Linked DNA regions of Schizosaccharomyces pombe. The gene in region 1 interacts genetically with each later gene. Each region holds a gene or a part of one and is shown in the gene's direction. Other genes may lie near its edges.

Region 1 (8,819 bases):
GGAAGTAGGAAGGAAAAAGCAAGGAGTCTTCAGAACCTTGTTCTTCACCGTAACTGAAGATACGCGAGCCCCTGAAGGACTAGATAATGAAGAAATTGCCATCAATAAATCGCAAAATAAAGCTGCAAAAGTTTTGCTCTATTTACACATGTACGATATCAAAATAACGATGGTTCACTGTAGCACATTAAACGAATATTGCTATATGAATGTTTTTTAAATTTGAAAGATATTCAAACACAAAAGGTCGTCTAAACATTCGATTTATAATGTTGTAAAATAGCTTTGTTTGGATATCAGTAGTCTTACAAAACTGAAAGTTTTTAGTTAAGTAAAAAAAAAAATATCATTACATAAATTATAGTAAATTGTTTAGACTTTTTTTAAAGTTTTAAAGTAATAATAAAACATGCAAACAAGAAAGAAACAATGGAATAAAAACATTAATAACGGATAATTTTGCGACGGCGGAAGTCCTTTTCATCTGAAGCGATGTCATATAACGCTCTTCGTTTCATTTCTTTTTTCTCTTTTGTTCTTCGTTTCATTTGCTCCATCTCTTTCCTGGTATATCGCTTGTTTCTCCGTTCTGCCAGTAAACTTTGGCCATTGTGACTATTCAATGAAGAATTGATGTCAAAGTACTGTTCCATATGCTTATGTGCTTTGTTTTCTTCACTTCGCAACTCTGGTGAAGCCCATTTTGGCATAAACTTTCCAGATAGGCGATTGAACTGAACTTTCGCTGTGTAATCTAGGGGACTAGTCTGCTCTTCATCTTCTAACGGATTATTCCAGCTCGTCGTATTTGTTAAAGTGTCCCAAAAATAGTAAGCCTGTTGAGAAGGGTCCCAAATAGCGGCTATCCGATGACCCTCGGACCAAGCAATGGAAGGCTGTGCTTGGTTTTCATTTGTAGGGGAGTTAGAAGTATCATTTTTTGATGTTTCGGAAACTGTTTCGTCAGATAAAGGAGATTCTTTATGGCAATTTGTTTCAGGAACTGGTTCATTTGGTAAAGGTGGCTCCCCTGGTAATGGTTCCTCAGGAACTGGTTCATCTGGTAAAGGTGGTTCCCCTGGTAATGGTTCCTCAGGAACTGGTTCATTTGGTAAAGGCGGCTCCCTTGGCAATGGTTCCTCAGGAACTAACTCATTTAACAAGGGCTTTGATGCTTCAGAGGTTGGTTCATTTTTAGAAATACTCTCCAGATTTTCATATGTTTGAGTTGATTCAAAAGTGTTTTTAGGAGTATTTTCAGAAATAAATGAATTATCGGCATCCTCTCCAACTTGGGTATAATGTTTTCCTTGAATATTGGAGTTTTCGCTATTAGAACTGCTCGTATTCGATGAAATAAAGTCACCACTGTTCACGTTTGATGCAGGAATTGTTTGATCGACATTGCTAGTAGCTTTGCAATCTTTAGAAGACGACATTTTTTTATCAGTATGAAGAAATAATTATTATACAAAATACCGGGGACATTCAATTGCACATAACAAATAAATGGGATTTACAGCACAAAAAATAAGTACTGGAATGTAATCTAAATGGCTGAATTAAAGTAATTACAAGCAACACTATATGTTGCTGCTCTGGCGCAAGTTAACAACAAAAATTAATATTTCTGAATAACGTATCTTTGCGAAATACCACGAGTTCTAACTATATCTACTTTAAATGGATTAAGGCTCCACAGTGCGATTCAATATAACATTAATTAAAATGCACTTGGCCTGTTCATTGATGGCCAAAAAATTAAATATAATTTGGTGAATTTAACTCCTATATAAAAGTTTTGTTTTTTCAAGCCTAAGGATATCGTTGAAGCTATTGCTGTGGATTACCGATGTTAGACTAAATAATAGTTGACACCAATTCGATTTATTAACAGTTTATAAACTTTCTCCCTACATAGTCTTCTTTCTTCGATAATTACTTTAACACATATAAAATGGAATTGTAAATATACTAAACGAAACGATAAGACATAGCCAAACTATGAAGGAATTATGCATATAGCATTTGAATAAATTAAATACTGAAAGCTAAAAGAGCTGCTATAGAGTACAAACTCAGATTCTTATATCGCACCTGTGATGAATAAATGTTTGAAGAAGCGATTTTTATTAACGAAAATATAACATAATAAAAGAGCTTATTTTTTTTGCTTTGCTTTAAGATATTAGAAGTACTCTACTTTTACCCCATATTAAATGTTGAATAAGAAGATATGGTTTTCGCATTTGAAAGCACAACGTCCATGTCTTTTCGATTAAGATTCATTAAGTATTATTGGTGAATATAATTGAGTGCAAGGGACTCTCTCGCTGAATTTACCATATGCAAATATATCATAAATCCACAGAAACCAGTATAGGATGTCCGTTGAATAAGGAAAATTTTATTTAAGTCTAACTCTGATAATACGTTTTGTATGTCAGTCAATTGAATATAAGTGCAAATTTTTATTTTTTTAATGACCTATTTATTGTAATAAAATCACGTTTCTTTGTTAAAATTGCACAAATTGAGTAAGCTATATAAATATTTAGAATTGAATATATACATATGAAAGCAAACATTTGGTCGTAGGATCCTTGTACACTTGAATTTCTATGATATTTTATTATTTCATATTAATTATGCTTACGTTTTGGAATTTTTATAAAAAATTATATCGTACTGGTAGTAGCCGTTTGTACGATCATCTACCTTTTTATTTTTTAATTTCATTAAACAAATTTAATTTATTTGTTTGCATTTTTGAAAAAAAAAACTTATAAAAAATCAATTATGCTCATTTAGCTTTTTGCAATGATTTTTTTTTTTTTTAAACATTTAGTTTAACTAATGAGACTATTATTTAAACAATATTGCACCAAATTTATGTCAAAATCATCACTCTTAAAATTGAATAAACAACAGGAACAGAATTCCATGAGTTATTCATCTTGAAGCTCTTGACCTAACCTTGTTCTTTCTAAAACCAAGCATTTTTGTTTAATTTTTAAAAAAATATTATTGATTAATTTAGCTTTGCAAACAATTTGCACACAATAGATTTTGAGAGGCTGAATATGAATTTTTAATGTTTTGAAGACTGGCGTTCTACTAGAACGTCCAATGTGATAACGTTATACTTATGAAAGGATGTAAAACTTCTATATACAGTAAAATAATATATTCCCTCCTACCTTACATGTAAGGGTTGCATATTATTGATTATTTTACTTTGTATTCTTTAGACTCACGGAAAACACTAATTTATGGTAGAATATTAATTTCTCATAAATAATATTATTTTAAACGATTCAAAACTAATAGAAAAGCTCAGACTTGCCTTTATCTAGTCGACATTTGATTCCTTTGGTTTACTATCGCCAATGGCAATTTCCAAGGATCCATGCGGATTACCAGATTTATCTTCATCGCTTTTTAAAATGTTAAATATGAACTTAATATAATTCAGATGAAAAGGTTTAATCCAATAATATTATATGAATTGAGAATAACTGGTTGGACTTAGTTAATAGTTAAAAGACCATCTTAGCAAATGGGGAAGAGAAAATGGCTAAGAGTTAAGCATTGAATAAATACATTATTTACTTTGATTTCTATAAAACAAGCTGATATTCATCATAGCCTCAAATTACTTATTATTTTAAGTATGGTGTGGTAAAGGAATTGAGTCGCGCGCGTTTATTTCTATTTCTACTACACACCAACAACGAAGTTTACCTATCGCCCCTTGATTAAACTAGTGGACTTGCAAACTACTTCATTCATTGTCATAGAAGAGGAAGAACTAATTTATTTCTGTCTTTATTAAATTTCGAGATAATTGGTGTTTTTAACAATGTACATTTTGAATTGATAGATCAAAGAAATCAGGAGTGCAACTAAAAGAAAATTACGGTATATTTTTTTAAGCTGCAAGAGTTGATACTTAAAAGTATTTCCTAATTTTGTGGATACTCATATTTTGTACATTTACGTTTCAATAACATTTCTGCAACCGACTTATTCACAAATCTCTGGTTAGATTTCTCTATTGATTGAAAAGGTTTGTCTCACGTTCACCCTTCATAGTTTAGCGGTGAAAAAAATCTCCACTCTGAAAATTGTCCTTTCTTCATTTATTAGATTGCATGATTTATTTCACTGGATTTAACTAGCTTGTCTTGGCAGCTTACCTTTTATTTCCCTTGTACGATTTTTTTCCGGTGAAGTTGTATTTATTGTTACATAAAAACACATTTGGCCGTACTTTAACGATTAATTTCTTTTCTTTTATTCCCATCGAATTTTCGCTCACAGATTGCGTGTAATTCTCTTCATTGTTTAGGAATATTCCTTTTTTTATTTTTTATTTTTTTTAACCCTGTTAAATGTCATACTCGAAGAGTACAATTTATCGCCGACAAGGCACAGAACCAAATAGCCACTTTCGGCGTACCGTCGAAGAAAAGTCTCAGCTTTCTGGTACAAATGAGGAGTCTTTAGGAGGCCACACCCTGTCCTCTAATGCTTTCAAAAATAATTCATCTAGTATATCGCCATCCTCATCTGCGAAGGATCCTCGAGAACAGCGGAAAAGAACATTTCCTCTCAACGATACACATTCTTCCCGAGCAAGACAGCATGAAAGACCTTTTCGTTCTCGAAAATCTAGAAGGAGAAAGGGTAAAAAGGCATTCAGTCCTAGACCTGGCTCACCTCCATCACCTTCCTTTTACCGCTCAGGTAGTCAAAAACGAGCACGTAATTTAACTACCAAGGATTACTTTGCCAAACGCTCTGAAAGCTCTTCTAGCGCCTCCGTCTCACCTATATCACCGTCCGCAAACAGAAATGATTCAAAAAGGCAAGCTTCTTCTTTTCGAAGGTCTCCGCCTAGTTCTGTACATATGAAGCCTTCAGCTTTTAACGGTCGAAAGGTATCGCGGAGACCTTCATCTTCTCCTCCCCCTATTCCTTCTATCCCTCATGAAACTACTTCCTCCGATACACAAAAAAAATCTAGCGTGTCTTCTGGCTTTCCAGAGAACAAACATGGAAAATTTCACTTTCATATACCTAATGAACGCCGATCTCGATTCGATCAACCTCCTTCGAAACGTATGGCACTCACGTCCACGGCCCGTGAGTCTGTTCCAGCTCCTCTTCCTTCTCCTCCTTCCGGCCCAATTTATACATATACATATCCAAAGCCTGCCTATGAGAAAATCGACCAAATTGGAGAAGGAACTTATGGTAAAGTATACAAAGCCATTAACACAGTCACAGGAGATTTGGTAGCTTTAAAACGGATAAGGCTGGAGCAGGAAAAGGATGGTGTAAGTATAAAAATCAAGCTCGTAACTAAATTGACTAACTTTCTAGTTCCCTATAACTACTGTCCGTGAAGTCAAAATCTTGCAGCGTTTGCGTCACAAAAATATTGTTCGGCTATTAGAAATTATGGTGGAAAAAAGTACGATTAAATACTGTCCTCATTCACCGTTTAATTATAACTAGTTCTAACATTTTAAAATTCTAGGTTCTGTATATATGGTATTTGAGTACATGGATCACGATTTAACTGGAGTCTTACTAAATTCACAATTACATTTTACTCCCGGTAACATAAAACACCTTTCGAAGCAAATTTTTGAAGCATTAGCTTATCTTCATCATCGTGGGGTGCTTCATCGTGACATTAAAGGTTCTAATATATTACTGAATAACAATGGTGATCTAAAATTCGCAGATTTTGGTCTGGCGAGATTTAATACATCTTCGAAGTCGGCTAACTACACTAATCGCGTTATTACCCTTTGGTTTCGACCTCCAGAGCTATTACTTGGAGAAACTGCATATGACACAGCCGTGGACATATGGAGTGCTGGCTGTATTGTTATGGAGTTGTTTACAGGAAAACCTTTTTTTCAAGGGCGAGACGAAATCAGTCAGTTAGAGGTTATCTATGATATGATGGGTACCCCTGATGTTCATTCTTGGCCTGAGGTGAAAAATCTTCCTTGGTATGAGCTTCTGAAGCCAGTAGAGGAAAAGAAGTCGCGTTTTGTTGAAACTTTTAAGGAGATTTTAAGTCCTGCCGCCATTGACCTATGCCAAAAACTCCTTGCCCTAAATCCCTTTTGTAGACCGTCAGCTCATGAGACCTTGATGCATGAGTATTTCACTTCTGAGAGCCCACCTCCAGAGCCAGCAGTCATGTAAGTATAAAATTTATCGTTGAATGATATTTATCTAACTTATGTGTTTAGTTTGAAAAACATGCAAGGAAGTTGGCATGAATGGGAAAGTAAAAAACGAAAATCTAAAAGATAAATGAGCCAGAAAATTTTGTCAAGGCGAAGCTATGCAAGCTGGACAAATGTTTAAAAAAAATAATCTTTATATTTCATTTAATTTCTTTGTCTCGCTTTACTGCGGTCTATCTTCTATATATTTTGTTAACACTAGGCAGAGTAACAAATTTGTCTGATGCTGGACAACTTTTTTTCATTTTTTGCTCTCTTTTTCTTCCGAAAAAGATGAAATAAGAACACTAATAGCTCATGATAATTAAATGTTCCACTGGTTTATTTGACTATTATAACTCTTTCACCTTTTAAGAACTTAGAAATCAAAGGCTTGAAGTCTTGAAATGAGCTTGGTACTGTGTACAAAAAAGATAAATTCAAAGGACTCGTATGAATTTATGATGTGGTTTTCTTTTAATCAGTCAACCGTAGTAATAATAATTTGTTTACATATACTTTTTAATAATGTTAAGGTGCAGATGTTCTCAAGAGCCTGCTCAAATATTTAGTAATGATGATTTAACAATTAAGAGAGCAAAAATTAAGTTACTATTTGAATGCGTAGCTTAAAATTGATCAAAGTATATCTACGGCTTTTACAATAGTGTGATGGCACGGATATCACATTCCGCATTGCACTGGACCACACTATAAGTCAACACTGAACTGATCGAGGAATAGGTAAGCATTCCCCTTCTCCTTTTGATCAAGAACCATCATTATAACAAAAAAAACAAACACAAAAAAAGTCGATGTCATTGTCGGAGTATCTTCGTGAATTCGCTGAGATTTTTGAGGAAGCTGCACAAGAATTAACCTCAATATTCGAACTACCTCCTGACCTGTTGAAAGATATTACTGAAGAGGATGTTGGGACTGATGACTCTTGTAATAAGAAATTCCTTGAAGTTCAAAAGCAAAAAGAAGATGAAGAAGATGAAGAAATATTGAAAGGAGTGGATTTAACGCAGCAAGATTCCGTACGTGAAAAAATCCACGAAATACAATCGATGTCGCAATTGAGTGAGAAGAGAAAGGCCTTACTTATGCAGGTAAGTACATGAAATTAATCATAAAAGTGAGATTTAAATGAAAATAAGATTACTAAACTGGCTTTGTAGAAAATGCTGATGTCTGGTTATTTAAAATATCGACGAACTCACAAGAAAGAATCTGATGAGAACCAATTGAGCTCATCTGATCTTGAAAAGACTTATTATGACAAAGAGCAAGAAATTTTAGGGTGTTCTCATTACATGCGCAATTGCAAGGTTCAGTGTTTCGATTGTCACGAGTGGTATACGTGCCGTCACTGTCACAACGATGCTTGTGATCATGTTTTAGAACGACCTGCCGTAGAAAACATGCTTTGCATGATATGTTCCAAGGTTCAACCAGCAGCTCAATATTGCAAATACTGTAAGAACTGTATGGGCCGATATTACTGCAATAAGGTATGTGATATTTTATTTGATACTTGTTCAATATCACTAATACATGACTTAACAGTGCAAACTTTGGGATGACGATCCGAATAAAAGTAGCTATCATTGTGATGATTGTGGTATTTGTCGAATAGGACGCGGTCTTGGCGATGATTATTTCCACTGCAAGGTAACTTTCGTGTACTTTTAGCACATGCTTTGCTTTTTAAACTCATATTCTAACAGCTGTAGACTTGTGGCCTTTGTTTACCTATTTCGGTTTTCAATACTCATCGTTGCATCGAAAGAAGTACGGATTGTAATTGCCCAATTTGTGGTGAATACATGTTTAACTCTCGCGAACGCGTAATCTTTTTAAGTTGCTCTCATCCGTTGCACCAGCGATGTCATGAAGAATATATAAGAACCAATTATCGTTGTCCTACTTGTTACAAAACGATCATTAATGTCAATTCATTGTTTCGAATTTTAGATATGGAAATTGAACGACAACCCATGCCTTATCCCTATAACACTTGGATTTCTACCATCCGTTGCAATGACTGTAACTCACGTTGTGATACGAAATACCATTTCTTGGGTCATAAATGTAATTCATGTCATTCTTACAATACTTGTATTTCATCAATTTACAAACCTTTGGATCACCCACAGGTGTCTATCCCTCGACTGGCAACCGCTGAGGATGCCGGTATGCGACGGCTAATGGGACATTCTTGGGACAACAGCGATGAAGACTTTAATATTTTCGGGATTCACAGTTTTATATAGATTTTCTAACTTTATGAACTTCCTAAACTGTTACGATTATCCTATATGTACTATTATTTTGGAAAAGTTGCTATTTTCATTCAATTCTTTGCAAGAATTACGAATTTTTAACGTTTACCCCAATTGTCTGATTATATTTATTCCCTTTTCTCGTCCTTTTGCATCTACTTCTTATATGGTTTTTTTTCTCAACAAGTCAAGCGATGGTATGAAGTAAATCGCTTAAATTTCCTCGATGAAGAGAATTTCTGTTTTAATTAATCTAAACTCATCTACTTTTGTGTGAAGC
Region 2 (7,503 bases), 1.5 Mb from region 1:
AATAGACGTTGAATACCAACTCCAATACTTCGGTCAATTGTGTAACGTCAAATAAATCATCATGCGAAGGATATAAGTTATGTTTACTTAAACCAACAAGTTCAAAAAGAGAATTCGATTTGTTCGAGCAAACATCCGGTGATAAACTTAAGATGTAAACCAGATGTGCCGCATAAACACGGTTTTCCTGGAGTAGTAATGTCCCTAAAACCCTCAATGCTTCTTTTTGGTCAGAGTAATGATTTGCAATAATATTGTACAGCAACTCCTTCCAGGCTACCAAAGCATTACTTGCCTGCGATTGATCCGCCAAATTCAATAGTGACGTAGAAGACGAAAACTCTGACATTGAAGACGCATGGGCATCAGACATTAATTGCAAAGATAATTGTAAATTTACTCCAACACCAGATCTAAGCATAGATTCTTTGACCTCTGATTTACAAAACGTTCGTACTACTCCCTGAAATGTTTTTGCATCTATAGAATGCGCAACAATAATCGCATATGGCCATTGCTTCTGCTGCAAAGCATAAGTAAGCGCTTCATCTTTGTTGCCAGACAATAAATATTCATAAAATCGGTGAAGGAAAGAAGTTGTGCAATAACGAGATGCGACAATTGGAGAATCATCCTGATTAATTTCAGGATTAATAAGCTCTTGAACTGAAGTAGCTGTATTGCAAGGTTCAGGAATTTCAAAGGAAGGTAATAAGATAGGACGAAGCTTTTCAACTATTAGCTTACGATCACTCACTTCCAGTAGCATCTTCAAACACTGTAGTAAAAGTAACTTGTCCTTAAGCGTAATGTTTTTATCGTCGTATTCTAGCGATTGGTTTAGACGGTCAATATATTTGGAAAGCCATTCAATAGCTTCGGCTTTTCCATGTTTATCTACCTTTCCATTAGAGGCAAGGTATGGTCCTTTAAACTCCTTTAGATGACGATACTCATCCGTTAGCACATCACCCAATTTTTCTATTTTAATGGGTCCTGCAATGAATTTGGTACCTTTGCCACTAGTTGTGTATAAACCACTGGGAGTGGAAAACGCCATAACGATTGTACCACAAGGTCCAAACGAAAATGCAGGTCTTTGCGTACTTAAAAATTTAAGTCGAGAGTCTTCATTACTATCAACAACTGGCGAGACAGGCGAATGCAAATTAGAATGCAAAAGTGGCTGATTTGGTAATGGTAAGAAATCAGGGCGGGGAGAATTATTTCGTGATAATTCAGCGCTACGTTTATGCAACGAGCTTTTATCAGAATCAAGAGTAGCCGAAGGGAGCGCAACCCCTTCAGTCATTGTATCTATGCTTACGTTTGGATTAAAATTCGGTGGAATAGATGGTGCATATTGCTTCGCCGTAGTTTCAGCAGTGTCAAATCCATGTTGATGTGAAGGTGTGCCAGTTTTGTGTAATTGGGGTGGAAGGGGTGAAATCGGAAGTCTATTGTTCAGTCCTTCTGAATGAGAACTTACGGGAGCATTAGCATGGTAAGCAGAGTTATGAGGGGGTAATACAGGTTCCATATCTGATTGTAATATGTCATGGATACCCTCATTATCTCTGTCGTTATTATCCATATTACCGTATAAAGTTGCTTGTGCGTGAGAAGGGGTATATATGGTTGCATCCTTTTGTGCTGCTAAAGGTGTAAATCCTGGACTTCTGATAATGTTCGCTTCTTCTCCGCTTGTCGGTAACGAAGAACTACCAGGCTGGGTAACCTCAGAGTAATTTATAGCTTGCGGCTGATAAGGATATTTTGTTTCCCTCTGGTTGGAATTTTTGATATTATATGCATTGGGAGTCGTCATTGGTTTGTACAGGTTTGCGGTTCTCTGCAAATTACCCGGAGACATCGCAGAATTCATAGTATGCTCAAGCGAAGACATCGGTCTTGGTGCTATTTCCAAAGGAACATAACTACTGGCAGATGAACCCATCGAAATAATGCTTTCTCGTCGAGACAGTACAGGCTGTACACGAGGAGAAAGAGGTGATAGAATACCGGGTTCACGAATAATAGCATTTCTTGTGTTGGCAGCAGGTGCATAAGACGATGTCGATACGAATTCCTTGGTAGGGTTGCTAACTTTATTACCAAGCTCGCCAGAAGTCGGCGTGTATGGAGCATTAACTTGTAAAGAAGGTCCCGGAGAAATAACGTTAATATGAGATTTTGTCATTTCATATGCCATATGTCGAGAATTGTACGTATTAGTCTTTGGGCTGTACAAGTTAGGAGTGTGTCCAACGGTGGTGGTTGCCGGTCTCCTGATCGGTTCAGCACTAGACGCTGGATAGGAATTGAAAGAGTTAGCGCGCATGGTAGGTGTCGCCAAAGGAGTACCATGCTGGTAAGCAAACGAAATTGGATTAGGGGTTTGACTCATTGGGGCATTCACCTGACCACTAGGAGGAGGTAAAGAACGAGGGGGATTGGATGGAGTAGCAGGACGAGGTTGAAAAGAGTACTGCCGGTTGTAATTTTGTGATACAGACCTTTTTTGCTGTGCTACTTGTACTATTTCTTCGGGCAAATCATAAGGAGAAGAATATTTCGCCTTTGATGCAACGAATGCTCCAGATTGAGGAGCTCTACGCGCTGTACCAGCATTTTCATTTTTATGAACATCCGAAGAAACAATTGGAGCATTGGCTGGCGGAGATGCTGATGATTTTGGGAGATACTTATTTGTTTGAACAGTACTGCTTTCCAAAAAGTTGCTCATAAGCGAAGTAAATTCTGAATCATCTATCAACTCCTCATCATTGATAGTGTTTTCGGATACTTTCGTAGCATTTTCTGCTTGCAAAGCATTATTAGTGAGTTGGGAAAAGAGAAGAGAATCTTGATTATCGGTTACAGTTATTGATTCAGATGGATCGATTGATGGCTTACTCTGGGTTTCTGATGGCTGCGAACCAGTATTCGAATTCAAGCCCAAAGCCGCCGAAAATAAATTTTCTTCTTCTGGGTCATTAGGAAACAAATCTTCAGTTGGACTTAATGGTGATGAAGAAATATCCGGATTTTCCAACTTGCTAGTATCTTTGTTATTCTCCTTTTCAAAAGAAGAAGGAGGTTGGGCAACATTTGGGATCTCATTGGTGTGTAGATCGGTTGAATCTTCGGAAGTTTTCTGGGTCGTTGGCTGCACAGCACTGTTATTCTGGACCACAAAACTGGGAGCCTCAACTTCCAAAGGCTCTCCAAAATCAACCTCAGTCTCCGGCAAATTTGGTTTGGGATCATTTAGGTTTTCAGAAGACACCAACGTATTTTCCTTACTAAGCTCAGGGGTATCGGTAACGGGTTTGCTTGCGACGAAATCCAAAGTTTGATGTTGCCCGGAGGAATTTTGGTTATGTACAAAAAAAGTGGATTCGTTATTTTCCGATTCAAGCTGAGATGAAGCCCTATCAACTGTAGTCGACGATTCTATATTGGCTTTGATATTGTCGTTCGAAACAGGCTTATCTTCAAGTTTGTCAACAGCATCTAAAGATGAAATTTGCATTTCTTTTGGCGTCGTATTCAATACTACAGAATCGTTGTTAAACTCTTTTTCATTCCCAGCTTCAGAAGTTAGATTTACGGTTTCAAAAGTCCCTTCCATTCCGTGAATGGAAGGAACCTCGTGGACTTCATGGTCTTCATTTTCATGCTCAAAAGTTGTAATTAAATCAGATGTCTGATCTTCCATATCAAGAGTGTCATTATATTGAGAGTTCGTAATGTATGCATTCTCAACTGAAGTACTAGTTTCTATCTTTTCGACTTCTGGAGATGGTGGTTTAGGAATTGTCTCATCATTATCATATATTTCTTTTTGCGACGATGAATAGTTTTCGTCACCCTTAAGAGTCGTTTCTAAGTCTTCCTTGCTCAAGTCTTCTTCAGAGAGTTTATCGTCTTCATCCACAACAGGCTCATCCATTATGTCAGAAATAATGGTTCCAGCAGTAATTTTTACCAAGTTATCATTTGAAGACTCCTCTTCTGTGTGAGCCGATTTGTCGCCAATGGTATTTTGAGGATTAATTTCCTGCACATTGTCCAAAGAATTACTCTCTATTAAGTTGCTTTCTTCTTTAACACCTTCTTTAGGCTCAGAGGAAGGCAACTGAATGTCAATTTCTGAAACTGACTGTTGAGAGGAGCTATTGGCTATGTTGTTTTCAACAAAGGAATCCATAGGTTCAATTGTGCTTTGTTCTTTTCTAGAGGTAGAAAAAATGGTGTTTTCATCTGTCACATCAATATCGTCAGCTTCAAAAGACTTGCGTATAGAATCATGCCGTCCTTCAAGATCAACAGAAGACTCCTTAGGCTCGTGGTCTGATTCAATATCCATTCCTTGATACGTTAGTGCCCAATATTATATTACTAAGACGAAAAATTTAGCTTATTTTTTAAACGAAAAATAGGCAGCAAAGTATACCAATAAATGGAGGATAAAACAATGCTCAAAGTTGTAGGAAAAAAATTGGCCCCTAGCTTTCCATGAGAAATGGTCAACCAAAATTTCACAAACAGTAATCGAAAATAATAATAGGTAGGTTCAAATAAAAAACAATCAACCACAAGGATATAGAAAATGGTAGGAAGTTTGTTGATGGCGCCAGTCAGTATCGAGAGATTAAAGTCAGAAGCAGAATAGCATACATCCTTATACTACGCTATATTAATTGTTCGTGAATGTTGTTCATAATTCTTCGTAAGGGTAAATATAGTAAACAAAAAAGCTATTCAAACATTAACGCAATTATTGAAGAAGAAACGGCTCAAGTTATTATATGTTTGAATACTAAATTACTCTTGATGAAAGTGTAAATGATGTGCAATTAGCAAACATCAACGGTTACGCATTCGGTATGAATATGTATTTACAAATCTTTAGAAAAGTAGTATTTACAAAAGCGTTAGAAATAACTTTTAAAAAAGGCTTTCAAAGATATAACATAGGTAAATTCCTTTTCTTATATCTCTGTTATTTTATAGCTTCTATTAGAAGCGAGCTAAGAATGGTTAAATACCTTTTCTAAATGCGTTTTGCCCACTTTTCTTTAAAAATATTTGATTCTCCTTATTACTCAGTAATGTATCTTGCATTTTTCTAACGCGCAGTGCGGTAGGTTTGCTATTCCCTGCCAACACTGTGCTTGTCCATTGCTCTCACGCGAAATCTACGGAACAGCATTTGCAGTTCAGGTTTATAAGATTGTTGTATTTTAAATTATTTAAGTCCAGTATTGCTGTGCAAGTTGATACTGTTTGGCACGCATAGCACGAGGACTGAAATTCCATTAAAATTTTAAAAGCTTTATCATTTTCTCGACACTCAGCACTTTACTGACTGTCGTTTAACGTTAATACCTTTTCTTTACCTTTTAGTGCATTATTCTATCCTTTGGATTGAACTACAAATTCGTTAGGTGTTGCTCTTTAGTTCCGGCAGCTATAAAATTATTATTCTTTATTTTATTCTTTTCGACAATAAACTATAGCATTTTTATTTCTTTCCCGCATTCTAGAAAAAATGGAAAACTTGGAATCCCCTAATTATGAACCAGCACTTGTCTATGAATGGATAATTCAACTTGTTTCTGGGACATCTCGCGAACAAGCTCTTGTCGAACTATCTCGTAAACGAGAACAGTATGAAGATTTGGCTCTTATTTTATGGCATTCATATGGTGTGATGACGGCTTTGTTGCAAGAAATTATCAGCGTTTATCCTCTTTTAAATCCACCCACACTTACAGGACCAACTAGTAACAGAGTGTGCAACGCGCTAGCTTTACTCCAGTGTATCGCTTCTCATCCTGAAACTAGAATCCACTTTTTAAATGCACACATTACTTTATTTCTATACCCGTTTTTGAATACCCTTTCAAAATCCAAACCTTTTGAATACCTGCGCCTTACTAGTTTAGGGGTGATTGGTGCATTAGTTAAAAATGACTCTCCAGAAGTAATCAACTTTTTATTATCTACAGAAATTATTCCTCTTTGTCTCAGAATCATGGAGAACGGTTCTGAATTATCAAAAACCGTTGCGATTTTCATCGTACAAAAATTTTTATGTGACGACGTTGGTCTTCAATATATTTGTCAAACATATGAACGCTTTTATGCAGTTGCGTCGGTTTTGAACAACATGGTAATGCAGCTTGTAGACTCTTTTGCTTTTCGTTTACTAAAGCATGTTATTCGTTGCTATCTTCGTCTTAGTGACAATCCTCGCGCCAGAGAAGCTCTAAGACACTGTCTACCAGAACCTTTACGTGATGCTACCTTTGCTCAGGTTTTAAAGGATGATCACAACACTAAAAAATGTCTTGCCCAATTGTTAATCAACTTATCAGACGTCGCCGTTGTTAATCAGTAATCGTTATTTTTTTTTTTTTTAAAAAACTTTTCTTAAATGTTGAATTAATTATTTCAATATCTGCCCTTCGTTTCCTATCTGGTTTACTTTCAATCATAATTTGTGACCGTAAGTGATTGGCATATGGCGATTTTTTGTGTTATTCGTCCGTCACCAATTTTTTCTTGTGTCTTTCTTATATCTTCCTTTATTATTATTTTTGCCCTGTCATTTTTCACTCCTCTTAATGTGCTCAAGTTATTCCTCAGGACAGAACTTACTCTGATGGCTTTTTTAAGGAAATCAGGGGTTTACTGTTAATTTTGCTTACAATTGTTAGATTCAGGATTTCATATCCTTTTCTCTTAATCTTTCCTTAAAATGCGTCACGAATGATGATTTTTACGAGTCAGCAAAATTTAAAAAAAAAAATAGAAAAAGATATAACATTCGCCGACGCATTTAATGTTTTTAACCAAAACACCTTTTTTCCTATTTCGTATCATATATACTTATACTATTTCTACAATATTCAATTCAGTTTCATCGATTACCTCTAATAAATTTAAAGAATTCGTACAATAGACAACAGAATTTGATTTATATTTACGTTCGTTAATTCTGCTATACTTCATTCAAGCAAATAATCAGATAAAAGTAATTTGAGATAATTTGTCCTCCTAATTATAGTGTTTGTCATATGCGACTACCAAGAATTACTAAATTTGCTTTATATCGAGAAAACCCTTGCCTACTCCCTCTTTATCATGCCACAAGAGATCCATCTTTGGCTAAAAGAGAGTGGACGTGGATATGCAAGGAATTAAAGCTGCTGTATCCAGAAATTAGCAAACATGGGTTGCGAAAAAAGATAGTAAATGCCTGTCAACTTCGAGCAAGAAACTATCCACTTCAGTATATACTGAAAAGTCAACCTTTTGGTAATATCAAGATAGATTGTCAACAAGGAGTTTTAATACCTCGTTGGGAAACAGAAGAATGGGTTGAACGTGTGGTTGATAAGCTAAATCGACTCGAGAGATTAAAACCGTTAAAGATTCTCGATTTATGTACAGGGTCTGGCTGCATATCAAGCTTTGTGTTGGCAAACCTAA
Region 3 (9,404 bases), on another chromosome or scaffold:
GTATGATGCCCCCACCAAAGGTTTTGGCATCCCACATCAAGGATATTAAAAGATTGACTAGTGGGATAAGAAAGGCGAGAGTAACCCCACGTTGCTCTATGTGGTGGTCTCTCGTGACAAGTCGTCTGGAGAGACGGATGCGCAATTAAAAAGGGTTGACAAGGGGAAATTGGAGAGTTCACGAGCTATCCATGGGATTGTGGTATATTGTGAATTTATCTAGGTGTCTGAGTTTTCCGTGGACAATGCATCTGTGGATTGCATATTCAATATCAGTACCTATCTGTGAATTGCATGCATCTTGAAATGCACTGGATGTCTATCACCAAGAAATACATCGCAGTGTAAGATTGCTTGCCACTGATGGACCACCATATTTTGAGTATTGCATTTGTTTTTCTTTTTTCTTTTTTTTTTTTTTTTTTTTAAAATAATTTGCGCCGTTTTCTCGCTCATTACCAGTTTTATCGAATTGCTCTCCAGCAAATCGGCTATTCATTTAATTGTATTTCATCCATTCGCTCCTCCTTGAATCTCCTCCAACTTCAAACTAACCATCCCCTGAATTCCTCCACTTCAAGGAAATAGCACATTCTAACGTGAACGCAATCCAACAACGACTAATGGTGTAATAATTTGCAACCTAATATATTTTTTTTGTACGTCAATTTAAGACACATTCATCGTCAACAGCGAAATATATAAAATGAAGTTGCAACGCTCAACCGGAAAAGTGCATCCGGCAGCATTAGAGTATGTGGTATAAAGTGTACTATTTTTAAGGTTGTGCGTGGGATTTCAAGGTAGGCTTAGATACTACTGAACTGGAAAAAAAAAATATGTCCCTAAATGTACCAAGGCAACGTTATTTGAGCTTGTTGCCATCATAGTTACAAAATGACCATCACTCTTCTCACCTACAGTTGTGGGCGCCCACTTGAAAAAAATACGTATTACACAGAGTAAGGTAAGACAAAACAAGGAAGTTGTAAAAAGTGCGTTTCGTTCTTAGTTGCATAATAATTCATGAAATTTGTAATTCTTTTTATAGATAGTAGATAGGAATACAACACTAAAAAACAGTACACTTGTCCGGATAAGTTGTCGCGTATATATCATTACATTGTATGGTTGCTGTTGATTTAATTTGGATGGTACGAAGTTTGCCGGCAAGTTGATACTGAGCAGCGCCATTTGAGATTGTATCGTAATCAGATTGGTGGCTGAAGCAACAGTAGAAAAAAGAATGGTTTGATTTCGCAGTTGAAGAGAAAATGTCATTTTGTTGAGAAAAAGCCCCGCTTCAAAAGTGGACTCGGCTCTAGAGCAAAAAGTTAATCGGCAAGTTTATTCGAGTAGAATAGGAAGAAGTAGTAAGATAGAATAGATACTAGAGGAGAATGGATATGACAATAAAATGGGTTGGTAGAAATTTAATAAGTTACGCTTGTAAAACACTATAGCATTTTTAAAGATACATATGGTCAAAGACACATATGATCAGAGATATACATATGATCAAGAGTCACCCATATATAGGATGGTCAATTTTTTCACCAAATTGTTTTTCTCCATTTTTTTCATTTACTGTCTATCCAACATCGATTAGCCGCAATGAGGGATTATACAAGTCAACAATGATAAGCACAGTTGGCTAGCAGAGTCCAGTTCCAAAAGGATGCAATTTTGGTGATATGTAAGAAAACATTCCACAATACAATTTGTGAAGTTTTTAGCTATAAATTTATCGGTTTAGGTTATTTTCAAAGTATAGTCGTTTTCAAAAAATTATATTCGTTTTCAAATTAAATTCGTTATCGTTCAGTAGTAACCTTTTTCATTCAAAACTCGTCTTCATCTATAACTAATCTACATCTTCATCTTCATCTTTACCTCTACTTTCTCCCATCTCTCCTTCCTATCGTCTCCTTCCTCTCTGCATCTTGCCGGCCGCCATTTTCTGACTCGGCGGGTCATCCACCTTTTAAGCTCAACCTTGTTTTGCTGGTCGCTCGCTCAATTCTTACAAAAGCCCAGGTTAATAGTGCGATTGGGTGATATGCAATGGAAATTAGCGCATATCTCAAGTTGTACGCACACATACGCTAATCTGGCGGCAATTCCTATTTTCTATTACATTGCATAAGTCAAAGCTACTTTGCACAAATTCAAGTAGCATTCATTTCCTTCTCTAAAATAATGTCTAGTCTTTGGACTTTTATCGTTTTCAATGGTTTTATTTCTTTTTTCCATTCCATTTATTTTTTTTTTGAAATTTTCACCTTTCTCAATTTATTCGTCGTTCTTTTTTTAATATAATAAGATTATACTTTTACAGCATACATTGTGTCTCACATAGTCTCTTCCATCGCGTTTCCCATTTTATGATCTTGCTAAAAAAATGTCATTCTTATGCAAATCACCCTGTACTACCACAGCACTTACCTTTCCGACATTCTTGTTCTCCATCTTACATGTCTATCACTGTAGCGATAGATTATTTGTGGTGCATGCCATCTCCAGGGATGATGGAAGGGAAACACAAGCACCCACGCCTAATTTTCGGTAAATTGTAGCAAAATTCCAATGGCAATGACTCGATAGAATCATTGTATGTGTGTGGTTTCTTTCCTTCCGCTCGTAGTACCTGTATTTTTCATCATGACTCCAAGTCTTCGCCATTCTTATTTCACTCCCGTTCCGTTCACCCCAAACTACTTCCTCATCACTTGCTTACTACTCAAACTGCCGGCACTTGTTTTCACACATTCGCTATGCTTTTTTATTCTTTTAACATTTGCTTAAACCTTACCTATAATACCCTGCGGTTTCGCAAATTGCCGCTCTTCAAATGCCCGCTTACTCTATTTTGCTTTCTCCACCCCTCCTTAACTCTCCAACTTCCCCAGCGTTCTACAATTCCTCATTCATTGGAAGACTAGTCGTTGGCTTCTTGTCATTTTGCCTTGCGCTATCTCCCTCAACGAAAAGTAGCTTTGCGAGACTTTTTGCCAAGTGCCACACTAATCTTTTGTACAGGGGGGAATCCCTGACTTTGTTTGCTGTGTTACATCGTTTGTAGGCAAGTAAAAGTGACAAATGCTTTCGCATCATATGTTACTTTAACCCCTGTGAATTTTGTCCCTTCCCCTCATACACATTTTGGCTAGACTTAAAAAAGTTGAATTTCTTTGTTTGATTTTCATTGTCAGTAACATCGCGTATTACGCCTCGCTCTATACTCTTACTAGTTGGTTGCCAATGCGTATGTATATATATATATATATACATACATACCTGGTGACTTACATAGTGAGAATCTATTCATTTAGCATATATTAAAAGGATATCCAGCGTTGAATTGTTTCGCGTCGTATATTGGATTTTCTTTATTATCAAATAAACAAAGCATTATTAGCATTCTGACTTTTCAATCTTAAACCTGATTGTGAATGCTAAAAGAAAGTATTTCATTTGATTAGTTTGCATTTTATTTTTCTTTGAGAGCTTTTGCCTCGTTTTTTTGTTTTCTCTTTGTTTTCTTTTTTTTTTTTACTCAACTTAACTTAACTTTTCTGGTCTTTGTCTTGATTGCAGCTTGTCGTCTTTGAATTAGCTTGCCTCCTCCCATTCTTTCCTGTCTATTCGTGTTAAGTCTATTCCTTTATCTTGGTTTGCTTTGGCTTAGCTCTATTCTTTTCTTTGTTTTGACTTTACTTTGACTTATTTTCACTGACTATTTCTAAGTTTAATTTGTTGATTAATTTTTATTCACATCTCTTCTTTTCTTTATAGTAAACAGACTTAAACTTTTTTTTCTTCTTCTATTCTGTTTCTTCATTTTGTTGGTCCAATTGGCTTCGCTTCTCTCTTCAAACTTTTCTCGTTTTTCTTGCCTCTACGTTCTTTTGGGATCCTCCTCTGTTGGAATTGTTAATTGAGAAGTGTTGGAATAATTTTTTCGTTTCTTGAAATCAAAAGGATTTTATCTTTTTTTTTAATTTTTACGTCGATTCCCTTACTGTACGTCGAATCCCCCCCTTTTTTTTATTTTTTTTCTACGTCAAAATTTTTTTATATATTTCTTTGTCTCTACCACCATAGTTATCCTTTATCAACTTTCTCTCTACTAATTAACTAAGTTGTTTCTTTGTTGCAATTTTTGCCCAACTTTAAATTTTTTTTATTCGCATCGTTATTCTATCGCTTGGCTGCTTATCCTTGATATCTGATCTATTAGATTTTCATTCCTCATTTTATTTTAATATCCTTTTTTTAACGTGTTTCTTTTGTGATTCCATTAGTACACACCATTCAGAATTAAGTTGCATTCACCATCGGTCTTTGTTGGCTCATGTTATAACATTATTTCTCCCCTGTCATTGTCGCATTATTCACGTATTCATTGGTATTCCTCACTTTATTTGTATACCCAAAGTTTCACCATCTTACAGAGCTCAACCATTCTTCAGTTATCGGTGTCTCTGAAATTTCTCCCTTGTTACGCCTTTTTATTTGACTCACTTTTCCGTTATTTAGTCTTCCGTTTCGTCTGTTTTTCCTGTTAACTATTCCGCTCTTTCTTGTTTTTAGTTTTTCCTCCGTTTTATATAGAGAAAAAAAAGCCTTAGAGGCTCGTGATTTTGTTCTCGTTTTCAAATCTCCTCAACTTAAAATTAGGCTTATAAGAAAATCACTTTTAAAGCTTCAATTTTTTTCTTGTGGCCTTCTATTATATATCACTTTCACTCCTTCTTCCACTTGGACCTCTACTAATTGTCTCTTTCAAGTTATCCTTGATTCAATCGCCTTTACGAAAAATATCCTTCATCATTCCAACTCGATCTAGTAACTTTTCAGTCTCAACTTTCATCTTTTTTTTTCTACGCTTCTTTACATTTTTCAAATCGGCTTTGAGTGTTGCTTCTGTTTTTTTCTTCTTGAGCTGGAAATTCCATTAGTTTCATTTATTATTTCATTACCTTACTTTTTTCGTTTAGGAAAAACCTGGCATCAAATATACTTTTGTCACTTTTTTCTTTTTTTTAGTCCAGTCAGTCTCTATTCATTAAGCTTGAACTTGATTTCTTTGGCGAACAAGCTTGTTTAATATCTAGATTGACGGAAATTTTATTTTCATTTATTTGTTGATACATACAAGGGAATTTTACTTTTACTATATTCATCTGTTACTTCACTGTGAATAATTTGTTCATTTTTCATTCTTGTTAGTTTGAGATTTCTTTCTATCTTAATACCATTTTTCTTTTTTTAAATAGAAAAAAATCCTTCACACCAGTTTTTATTCGGTGTTTATTTCTTTACTGTTTTCTGATCTCATCCCCTCTCCCTCGGTTTGTGCTGTTCGCTTCTTTTCTACTTCGTTCTTTCTGACTGCGAACTTCATTTATGTTTGCTTTGTTCTTACTGAATCATCTTTCTAATTAATTCTAAGAACCGTTTCATTTGTTTTATTTTCTCCCTTACTTTTACTACAATTTTTATATTTACTCTTCTCTACACAATGTCTGCTTCTTTAACAGCCGAGCAAAAGGACCAAAAAAGTTCTGTTAAGCGACCTTTAAACAGTTTTATGCTTTATCGTCGAGATCGCCAAGCTGAAATTCCTACTTCTAATCACCAAAGTATCTCACGTATCATTGGTCAGCTGTGGAGAAATGAAAGTGCCCAAGTCAAGAAGTATTATTCTGATTTATCCGCCCTCGAAAGGCAGAAACATATGCTGGAAAATCCCGAATACAAGTACACCCCTAAAAAGCGGTCTACTGTTCGTAGACGCCATAAAAAGGTATCACCTTCTTCCGGATCTTTTGTGGCCTCGGATTACGTTGTACTGCAGCAAATTGCACAATCTTCTAAGACTCTAAAACAGACCGAACCCGAAAAGCCTGTTAATGAGGAGGAAACTTTAGCAGCTTTATTAGCTCCCGCTCTTTCATATCCAAAGTCAGGTAAATCGAATCTTATTGAAACCAGTGAATTGTCTTGTCTTTCGTCTTCCCCAATGATTCGAAGTCATACAATTCCTTCCTTATCCTTCACCGATCAAGTTTCTACAACTATTTCTACATTGGATAAATCCGAGCAAGCTCCTAGTTCTTTGGGCATCTATTATAGATCACCCAGTAGCGGTAGTCCAATCGGGCGAACAAAATCTGTGTGTTTAGCTAATAAAGCCCGAATAGTACCGAAAAGATCAATGTCATCTGATGGCTGTGTTGACAAATCTTATCAAATGTCAAAAACACCGAGCTTGGAGGCGAACTTGCCTCAAAATTCAAGCAATTGCTCTGCTCGAAGAGTTCCAAAATTTGATTCTAAAGGAACCGTGAGTGAGCAAAGTAACTCTGATAGTCCAGAGCTGTCAGCCGATAAAGTGTTGTCTCATTGTAGTCCTATTGATGCTCGACCCTCAACTCCCTCTTGCCCCAATGCCAGTATATCACCTAAAACCCCGAATACCGGTGATCATTATGGTTTTGATGGAGCTGAGTACCTAGGAACTCCTCTCAGTGTAGGCAGCACTACTGCGTATTTATACGGCCAAGAGACCGAACTTTTATCTACGCCTTATTGCCATACTTCTTACCCAGCAATGAGTCGATTGAACAGCAGTTCTGGCTATACATGCGTCTCTTCGTCTAGTGTTACCAATTCTGGACATACTGAAAATAATACCTGGAGAAGCGACGAACAAAGTAAAGGCTTTGTTGACATTAATAGTTTTTCTCAAAGTTTGTTCTCAAATGGCAATTATGAGTTCGCCGCTCATTCTCAAGAATTGGATGATTTATTTTCACAAATTACGGATTTTACATCAACTGATCCTATTGCTTCCTCACTCAAAGATGCTAACTCATTGGGACCTTCTCTTTTAGAACCTTGGTTGCCCAATTCTAATTTATTTTGAAAATATTTCTATGCAAACATGGCTTTGTTTTCAACAAACGATCATTTTTAACGCGTCACAAAAGCATGCAGCTGATTTGTTCATGTCATGCTTAAAAATCTATATTTTTTTAATTTTGCATATCTTTGTTATGCTAGATGATGCCTTCCATAATTTATTTCATTTACCTTTTAAACTCTTTAATTATTCCCTTTTTATGTTTATTATAGGAATATGTGTATACTTAGTTTCCAAAGAGCACATTGGGCAACATTGAATAGTTGCCCACTAATTTTCTTTTTTTTTTAATTTTGAACAATGTCTTACGTTATGAATTGATTTCTTACATCTAATTTCCTGTCATCTAATTTGGGCCCGTTATTACATATATATTGTAGTTAAAAAAATATATATTATATCGCAACGTAATTTCTAATTTTTCTCTTCCATTACTTTCGTAAGAATGTTAAGTATATATATGTTCATTATTTTCTTTACGTATCAAGCAATCATCCAATGCAGTATTGTTATCACCATTTCACTAGATATACTATCGATGAAGGTTTACTTGGCACCCACACCTACTGGGGTAATGTAAAGATAACTCAACCAATAAATTGATTAAGAATAAAGGTAATTAAATTACCTGACAAAGAAACTTATAGAATTCATTCGGTTTCAATGGCGAAAGGTATCTATCTATAAATGTTTATAGCATTCGGCATTCAAATATTTCATGAAAAGCGACGGATTTAAAGAAGTAATGCTATCAAAAATCGATCAATTATATTTTAAAATTATAACGCAAGTCGTAAGAATCTTTGTATATGTTGGATTGCAAAACTGTATTATTTAAGAATGAAAACAAAAAGAAAAAGCCTTAACTCGTCTTTACCCACTAACAAAAAAAAAAGAAAAAAGTTAAGTTTAGAAACAATGAAACTCTTTAATTAAAGTAACGAAAAAGAGCCACAGGTTTTAATTAAAATGGAACTTCTTCGAAAACACATAATAAATGCTAACAAAAATTACTCCAGGAGGAATTAAGGTGGACACTGCATAGCAGTAATTTTCTCTGTCAAATCCATCGCACCCAGAATTTCTGAATGATGCCGTTGGTGTCTACTATATACAGGAGGTAAAGCCGTTGGAATTCGAAGTGCTGGAGCGAGACTTTCGACACCCAATAAATACAGACAGACTAATGAAGTTGTTTTTCTCTCAATGTAAGCCATGTAAAGTTCATGTTTTAGTTCGGGAATACTTGCTAAACCATGCTCATGTAACAGCTGTAAAACCTTTAAATTAAAAGGCGGTTTGAAAACATGAGATCGGATTGAAGGCGTTGAGGGAATAGAGGTTAAGGGAATAGGCAGATACAAACAAAACGAATTTTTTTTTAACCAGGGAAATTTTGCTGCTTGTTCTAAAGAACAGCGCTTCCGTGGGTTTACATTCAGCATAGCTGCAATAAGAGAACAACAATCTTCTGAAATGTAAGAAGGAAACTCCAGTTTACCCGACTTTATTTTTGAATGGAGCATAGGAACGGAAACGTCGTCAAATGGGACTCGTCCACAAACCATAACATAAATCACTACTCCCAGGCTCCAAACATCAACCTCTGGGCCTATGTACGGCTTTGCATCAAGTAATTCTGGGGCCGCAAAATAAAGACTCCCACAGTATGTACGTAATAAATCGTCTTTACTATAAAAATTACTGAGGCCAAAGTCAATTAGCTTCACCTGACGAGAATCCTGAGTTAAAAGAACATTCTCAATTTTTAAGTCTCTGTGTACAATAAAATTCTTGTGAAGATAAACCAATGCATTAATCAACTGCATAGCAAAACTCCTAGCCAAATCTTCATCGAGTTTGCCACGAGCAAGGATGTACTCCAAAAGTTGTCCTCCAGGAACGTATTCGAACAGTATGTAAGTACATGCAGGCGTCCGGATACAGTCTATTACCCGGCATATGTTGGGATGTCTCAATAAACGACCTAAAAGTGCCTCCCTTTGAACACGAACTGTCTGACTTGTATTATTAGGAGTAAAGGGAATCATTTTGAGAGCTGCTTTCTCTCCTGTTAAAATATTTACAACGAGTTTAACCTTTCCCATACTGCCAGCACCAATTGTTTTCTTGATAATCCAGTTTCCAACTTGTCGACCAGGACCAGCTGTGCCAACGAAATCAGATATAGACCTTTGATGTTTTGTAGACTGATTTATTTTTATATTCTGAGAGCGTTTAGGAATAGAGAAAGTATCCCAGCACTCATTCCTTAGGTTAGTTGTGTTCGGTTTCATCTTCTCAGCTGTAAAAGGAATTTATGAACAAAATTGTGCTTAAATAATTCAATTACAAATGAAGTTAAGAAAGGAAGAAGTAGTGTCTTAGATAAAATTATCATAAAAAGAAAACTCACTTCACATAAAAAGATATATTGTTCTTAGTAACAACAATACTATTAAAGTGTTTTTATCAC
Region 4 (5,986 bases), on another chromosome or scaffold:
TATTTTGCTTACATATTATCATCAGGGCTGAAATAGGACACATGATAACCGGCCAAATGTTTCAATCCTCTTGGCCAATTGTAATTTTAAATCTTCATTTTCTGATTCTAAACTCTTCCTCTCCAATTGTTTTTCTTCAATGGAGTTTTGTAACTTTTTAATTTTCTCTAATTGATGTTTTGGTGCAGTGGAAATACCTGGAAGTTGGTTGATCAAAGTGTCTATTTGCATAAATTTTGTAACCAAGTCTTTTGCTAGATCCCTTTGAGCGACTACAAAAAGAAGTTAGCACATAAAATGACTAGAGGACGTCTAATATCGTACATTGTAACTCTTCAGCAGAAATTGGGTTCACTAATAATTTGTTAGTAGCTACTTTGAATAGCATCATAATGAATCTTGTATACCTTTAGAATCAGAAACCTTTTCTTGACCAGGTAAAGGAACGAAATCATGATGAGAACTTAAATAATGAATGGAAGAGTAAAATTGTGTGGCAACCTACATAGGTTAGAATAGAAAAAGAAAACTAGTCCCATTACCTCATCAATTGTATCTTGAAGCTGAGTACACCTACATGCCATTTTTTTATGTAGGTGTAATATGAGTTAAAAAGAGTTGAAAGTCGCAAGTTGTTGAAGGTCCATGATGCAGGTAACAATTGTTGAAGCGCAAATGTCAAGAACAATAAATCGCTAATTAACTTTTCTGTTATTTCAGCATCGGATATTTATTATGCACAGCTTTTGATTTTATGACATTGTTTGTAATTGTAATGTATCGACCTAAAAACCGACTGTCTAGCAATCGGGAAAAAGAATTAAGCTAGAATCACGCTTGACATAAGCAAAAGAAATTTAACATAAAACAGTACATAAAATTTAAAAAAAAATTAATGGAAAGCGAAAAAAAATAAACTACAGAAACTACAGAATCAGCTAAGTATTTTTAATTAACATAGAAAAACAATGATAATAGTAATACATTCGACATATTTATTATATTTTTGATCGTGGAAGGGTGTCCGAGTGGTTATGGAGCTAGTTTAAGGCACTAGTGCGAAAGCTCGTGGGTTCGAGTCCCACCCCTTTCAGTACCTTTTTGATAATCCATTCATTCTGAGTGTTTTCATATTACGTGAAGGTGCATTGTTATTAAAATTGCAGTACTCTGCTTTTAAAAAGATAGCGGACAATGCTACAAATTCAATACAATCTATCCTTTTAAGCAAACATAAATCACTAAATGTTTAACGAATATGCTACTACGGGTCTTGAATATTCACAATATTCTTTTATTAGGAAATGCATTAACCACCGGTACCTTATAATATTCTTACGAAGTGGGTACACACTGAAATAGCTCATTGGTGACCCGAAGAACGGAGGTTAATTTATTTCATAGTCTCGTATATTTGGCAGTAGTTACATCAAGAAGCAACAAATGGTGCATCACTGTCAATATATGTATATATACTATAGATAAATAAATACAAGGCATGTGACTTATATAATGATACTTAACGTAACGTACTATCATCAACGCTTTATTCAAAATAATGAAATGTGCTAAAATGTGATAAAATATTTGTGATACCGCGTTGAGAATCATATTGAAAGAGGTTGCAAATTGCTTCTTGCACCAACTTTGGCTCTTATGCACAAGCAATGTCTTCTTCCAATTGGGAAAAGTTAAAGAAGGTATGAAAGGCTATAGTTTCCATTAAGTCATTTAAGATTCTTGTTTAAGTATACTAACGGTATTGGTTGTTTAGAAACTCGACAGCGCTAAGAGTGGACGGGTTGAAAAAAAGCATTCTAATGAAAAGAAATACCTTAAAAGTGTGAAAGGTAAAAACAATGAGAATGAGAATTCTTATATCGTCGATAAAAAACGCATGAATGAATTAAAGAAATTTGCTAAGGAAAATGATATCCCTGAATCTCAAGTCCTTGACGCATATGGCGTGGATGCTTCCAAGCTTACCAGAAAAACCAATTTGGAAACATTGGGGAAATATATTGCAATGGATTGTGAAATGGTTGGGGTGGCAGATGACATGTCAGTTCTTGCACGCGTCAGTATAGTTAATTATCATGGTCATGTCGTGTATGATACTTATGTCCGTCCTAAAGAAAAGGTTACGGATTGGAGAACATGGGTCAGTGGTGTCAAGTCATTTCACATGCGGGATGCACCTTCATTTGAAAAAGTACAAGCAGAAGTTGCTAAGATACTCGACAATCGAGTATTGGTTGGACATGCTGTCCATAACGATCTCAAAGTACTACTTTTATCGCATCCAAGAAGAATGATTCGTGATACCAGCAGATTTTCTGGGTATCGGAAATTAGCCAAGGGAAGGACACCAGGGCTTAAAAAACTTGCTGAAGTGATTCTTGGGCGTGACATTCAATCTGGACAGCATTCTTCCGTCCAGGATGCCCAAGCAACGATGGAATTATATAAGAAAGTAAAAAAAGAAATGGATGAAGTTGCATTCAAAGGTTTGTCAAAGTCATAAGCTTTGAATCACTAGACTTCGTTCTGGTCATTTGGGATTTGGGTTTAATAATATGCAAGAAAATGTTTCTTATAATTTTACTGGATATGTGTCAGATGTTAAATATATTTTCGGTTGCTTATAACAGCAATATTGTTTTCATTGGCTCTTATGAAATCGTTGGTTTTCTTTCTTTATTTATCTCTTCTGTTTCCTTCGTTTCTGGTTTTAAATAGTCAATCTATTAATAATTTTTAGTATAAATAAATGATGCATACAACTGAAGGAAAGAAATAATGTATGGAAAAAACAAGGATATAGAGATTTATCAGCTTCGTTTATATGGTCTTCATAATTACTTTGTGAATTAATAAAGTTAATGTTATATAATTAGATTACTTCCTATAGTGTATATGATTTAGAGCATTTTAACTGAATGACGATAATATGTTTTCAAGCGCCGTTAAGTTAATTCCTAAATTTATATAAATACCGAATTAATCTTTATTATCACAAAAAAAATAAAAAATATATATATTAATAATAGCTACCAAATAAATTCTAGTTAGACAATGGACCATTAATGTATACATATTAATAGCTTACAAAACAGATACGGAAGTGTTTGAAAAATAAGTATTTATTCAAAGATTAAATTGCTCAACTATATGTATTATATAATCAAAATAAAAATAAAAATAGGCCAACTTGACAGGTTGTTTAAAGAAAAATTCCATTTGTTTTTAAATTTTGAATTCTTGTTATAGCATTCAGCTTGTTAAAAACCCAAGAAAAATTGGTTGATGAGCTCAATAAGCATGTTGTTTTACCCGTTTTATGGTGCGAAGGTTTCCAATGACAGAACAAAAATGATCTAGAAAGTTTCAACGATTTGAACCGGAAAATGATATATTTCAAATTATTCTAAATTTATTATTTTTGAACATTGTTACCTGGGTGCCGGCTGCTTCTTGGAACGACACAAGTGCTCTTTTACCTCCTTATTCTCATTAAACTCGCAGCAACCACAACTGTCTTAGATAACTAAAAAAAAAAGAGTAAAAAGGATATCAAAAAAGTTTATTCCTATAGAAATGGAATCGAGATATTTATCAGATAGAAGAAGCCGTTTTAAAAGCAAAGGTGTTTTCAAAGCTGATGAACTTCGTCGGCAACGTGAAGAACAGCAAATTGAAATCCGCAAACAAAAACGTGAGGAAAGTTTGAATAAACGAAGGAATTTAAACGCTGTTTTACAAAATGACATTGATGTGGAAGAGGAGGCTGATCAGTCTCAGGTTCAAATGGAGCAACAAATGAAAGATGAATTTCCTAAATTGACAGCTGATGTGATGTCAGACGACATTGAGCTACAATTAGGTGCCGTCACGAAATTCAGGAAATATCTTTCTAAGGAGACGCATCCCCCTATTGATCAGGTAATTGCTTGTGGTGTTGTTGACCGGTTCGTACAATTTTTAGAAAGTGAACATCACTTGCTTCAATTTGAAGCGGCTTGGGCCTTAACAAATATCGCTAGTGGTACCACAGATCAAACCCGTATTGTTGTTGATTCCGGCGCTGTTCCTCGTTTTATTCAATTACTTTCTTCACCTGAAAAAGATGTCCGTGAGCAGGTTGTATGGGCCCTCGGTAACATAGCTGGCGATTCTTCTGCCTGCCGTGACTATGTACTCGGTAACGGAGTTTTACAGCCTTTACTTAATATTCTTCAGAGTAGCGCTTCTGATGTTTCTATGCTCCGTAACGCTACATGGACACTTTCTAACTTGTGTAGAGGCAAAAATCCACCACCTAACTGGTCAACTATTTCTGTAGCCGTTCCAATCCTTGCTAAGCTCCTTTATTCTGAAGACGTTGAGATTATTGTTGACGCGTGCTGGGCCATCTCCTATCTTTCTGATGGACCTAACGAAAAAATTGGCGCCATTTTAGACGTTGGATGTGCGCCCAGGCTTGTTGAACTTTTGAGCTCTCCCAGCGTTAATATTCAAACTCCTGCCCTTCGCTCTGTGGGGAATATAGTAACAGGTACTGACGCGCAAACACAGATCATAATCGATTGCGGTGCTCTCAATGCATTCCCTAGTCTTCTCAGTCATCAAAAAGAGAACATTCGTAAGGAAGCTTGTTGGACTATTAGCAATATTACTGCTGGCAATACCCAACAAATCCAAGCAATTATTGAAAGTAATCTTATACCTCCATTGGTCCATTTACTCTCATATGCCGACTACAAAACAAAAAAAGAAGCCTGTTGGGCTATTTCTAATGCTACTTCTGGCGGTCTCGGTCAGCCTGACCAAATTCGTTACCTTGTGTCACAAGGCGTTATTAAGCCACTTTGCGATATGTTGAACGGATCCGATAATAAAATTATTCAAGTTGCTCTCGATGCCATTGAAAACATACTTAAAGTTGGTGAGATGGACAGAACTATGGATCTTGAAAACATTAATCAATACGCTGTCTACGTTGAGGAAGCTGGCGGTATGGATATGATCCATGATTTGCAATCCTCCGGAAATAACGATATTTATTTGAAAGCGTATAGCATCATTGAAAAGTATTTCAGTGACGAGGACGCAGTTGAAGATTTGGCACCTGAAACCGAAAATGGCGCCTTCACATTTGGCAATGGCCCTCAAGCTCAAGGAGAATTTAAATTTGATTCTCAAGATATGGCTATGTAACGTTTAAATTAATTTTAAAAAAATTTTTTTTGTTCTAATCGAAGCGCACATTATTTACATGTTTCACTTAGACAAATTCTGTTTTCCATTACTGGTGCTTTTGTTGGGTTTGTATTTCTTTTTTTTACCCTCTATTTTTAATTCAATTTAGCTATTTGTGAAGCTAAGTATTTCTATTAGGATTAAAAACTACGGTTAAATAATATGTTTACGAAAAAAATGAGTGTACTACTAAAACAGAGCGGTACAGGTAAATAGCATGATATCACTAAAAATGTTTATATTCGTAAGAGCTGCAACTAGGCAAAATAGAGAAGGGGGTTTAGGATCAAAGAAAATAAAAATAAAAGAAAGCAGCGGGGACGATATACACTGTTAGGTTCAAATGACTTCGACTAATCGGTGAATGCAATTTGAAAACCAATAATGACGCAAATTTTTGCTAATAAGCATATATGCAAATCAAATATGACTGAAAAAAACTGCAGCTGTCTTATCGTATTATGTCCCTCGAAAAAACAATTTAGGCACTAGCTAAGACCTTTTCGATTTCACCGAGACTTTCATTGAGAGCATCCTGTTGGAACTTTTGGGTAGAAACTTTGCTGTTGACACGAGCCAAGACATCTTCAACGAGACGTTCCTGTTGTTCAGCGCGAACGTTGGCTTCGTGATGAACCCAGCTATCCAACACTGATTTAGCTTCTTTAGCTAAAGCAACTCGCTGTTCGAGCTCAAAGATCTCAGCCTCCATACGGGCAGTTTCTTT

What was found.
Region 2: mutations in lsk1 (region 1) and rcd1 together harm fitness less than expected from each alone (positive genetic interaction), as found in Schizosaccharomyces pombe (2 studies listed by BioGRID).
Region 3: of lsk1 (region 1) and ste11, changing one suppresses a phenotype caused by changing the other (phenotypic suppression), as found in Schizosaccharomyces pombe (one study listed by BioGRID).
Region 4: mutations in lsk1 (region 1) and imp1 are lethal when combined (synthetic lethality), as found in Schizosaccharomyces pombe (2 studies listed by BioGRID, with this or other methods).

What each region holds. Positions count from the first base shown.
Region 1 is NC_003424.3:3,950,077-3,958,895, forward strand, and holds lsk1 (P-TEFb-associated cyclin-dependent protein kinase Lsk1), read left to right. Parts: upstream 1-3,719; 5' UTR 3,720-4,394; coding exon 4,395-5,342; intron 5,343-5,388; coding exon 5,389-5,479; intron 5,480-5,494; exon of another isoform or gene 5,495-5,545; coding exon 5,546-6,224; exon of another isoform or gene 6,225-6,275; coding exon 6,276-6,339; 3' UTR 6,340-6,793; downstream 6,794-8,819. Other genes in the region: qtr2 (queuine tRNA-ribosyltransferase accessory subunit Qtrtd1/Qtr2), read right to left, coding at 1-102; splicing-associated factor Saf2, read right to left, coding at 444-1,439; SPOM_SPAC2F3.16 (ubiquitin-protein ligase E3), read left to right, coding at 7,067-7,366, 7,436-7,768, 7,824-7,928, 7,991-8,530. UniProt on the Schizosaccharomyces pombe protein: Catalytic subunit of the CTDK-I complex, which hyperphosphorylates the C-terminal heptapeptide repeat domain (CTD) of the largest RNA polymerase II subunit. Involved in RNA polymerase II transcriptional elongation and pre-mRNA 3'-end processing.
Region 2 is NC_003424.3:5,416,866-5,424,368, reverse strand, and holds rcd1 (CCR4-NOT complex subunit Rcd1), read left to right. Parts: upstream 1-5,195; 5' UTR 5,196-5,557; coding exon 5,558-6,409; 3' UTR 6,410-7,003; downstream 7,004-7,503. Other genes in the region: multidomain vesicle coat component Sec16, read right to left, coding at 1-4,372; mtq1 (S-adenosylmethionine-dependent methyltransferase), read left to right, coding at 7,089-7,503. UniProt on the Schizosaccharomyces pombe protein: A differentiation-controlling factor that is essential for the onset of sexual development. Induces ste11 when sexual development is invoked through nitrogen starvation.
Region 3 is NC_003423.3:3,980,062-3,989,465, forward strand, and holds ste11 (DNA-binding transcription factor Ste11), read left to right. Parts: upstream 1-3,314; 5' UTR 3,315-5,524; coding exon 5,525-6,931; 3' UTR 6,932-7,339; downstream 7,340-9,404. Other genes in the region: serine/threonine protein kinase Ppk25, read right to left, coding at 7,954-9,225. UniProt on the Schizosaccharomyces pombe protein: Key transcription factor for sexual development. Activates the transcription of the matp, matm, mei2, mfm, ste6 and rgs1 genes. Binds specifically to a DNA fragment carrying a 10-base motif 5'-TTCTTTGTTY-3'.
Region 4 is NC_003423.3:3,913,029-3,919,014, forward strand, and holds imp1 (importin alpha family nuclear import signal receptor adaptor Imp1), read left to right. Parts: upstream 1-3,526; 5' UTR 3,527-3,597; coding exon 3,598-5,217; 3' UTR 5,218-5,486; downstream 5,487-5,986. Other genes in the region: srb7 (mediator complex subunit Med21), read right to left, coding at 22-272, 325-354, 408-501, 543-584; exoribonuclease Rex4, read left to right, coding at 1,668-1,700, 1,775-2,524; F0-ATPase subunit atp4, read right to left, coding at 5,741-5,986. UniProt on the Schizosaccharomyces pombe protein: Functions as a component of the nuclear pore complex (NPC).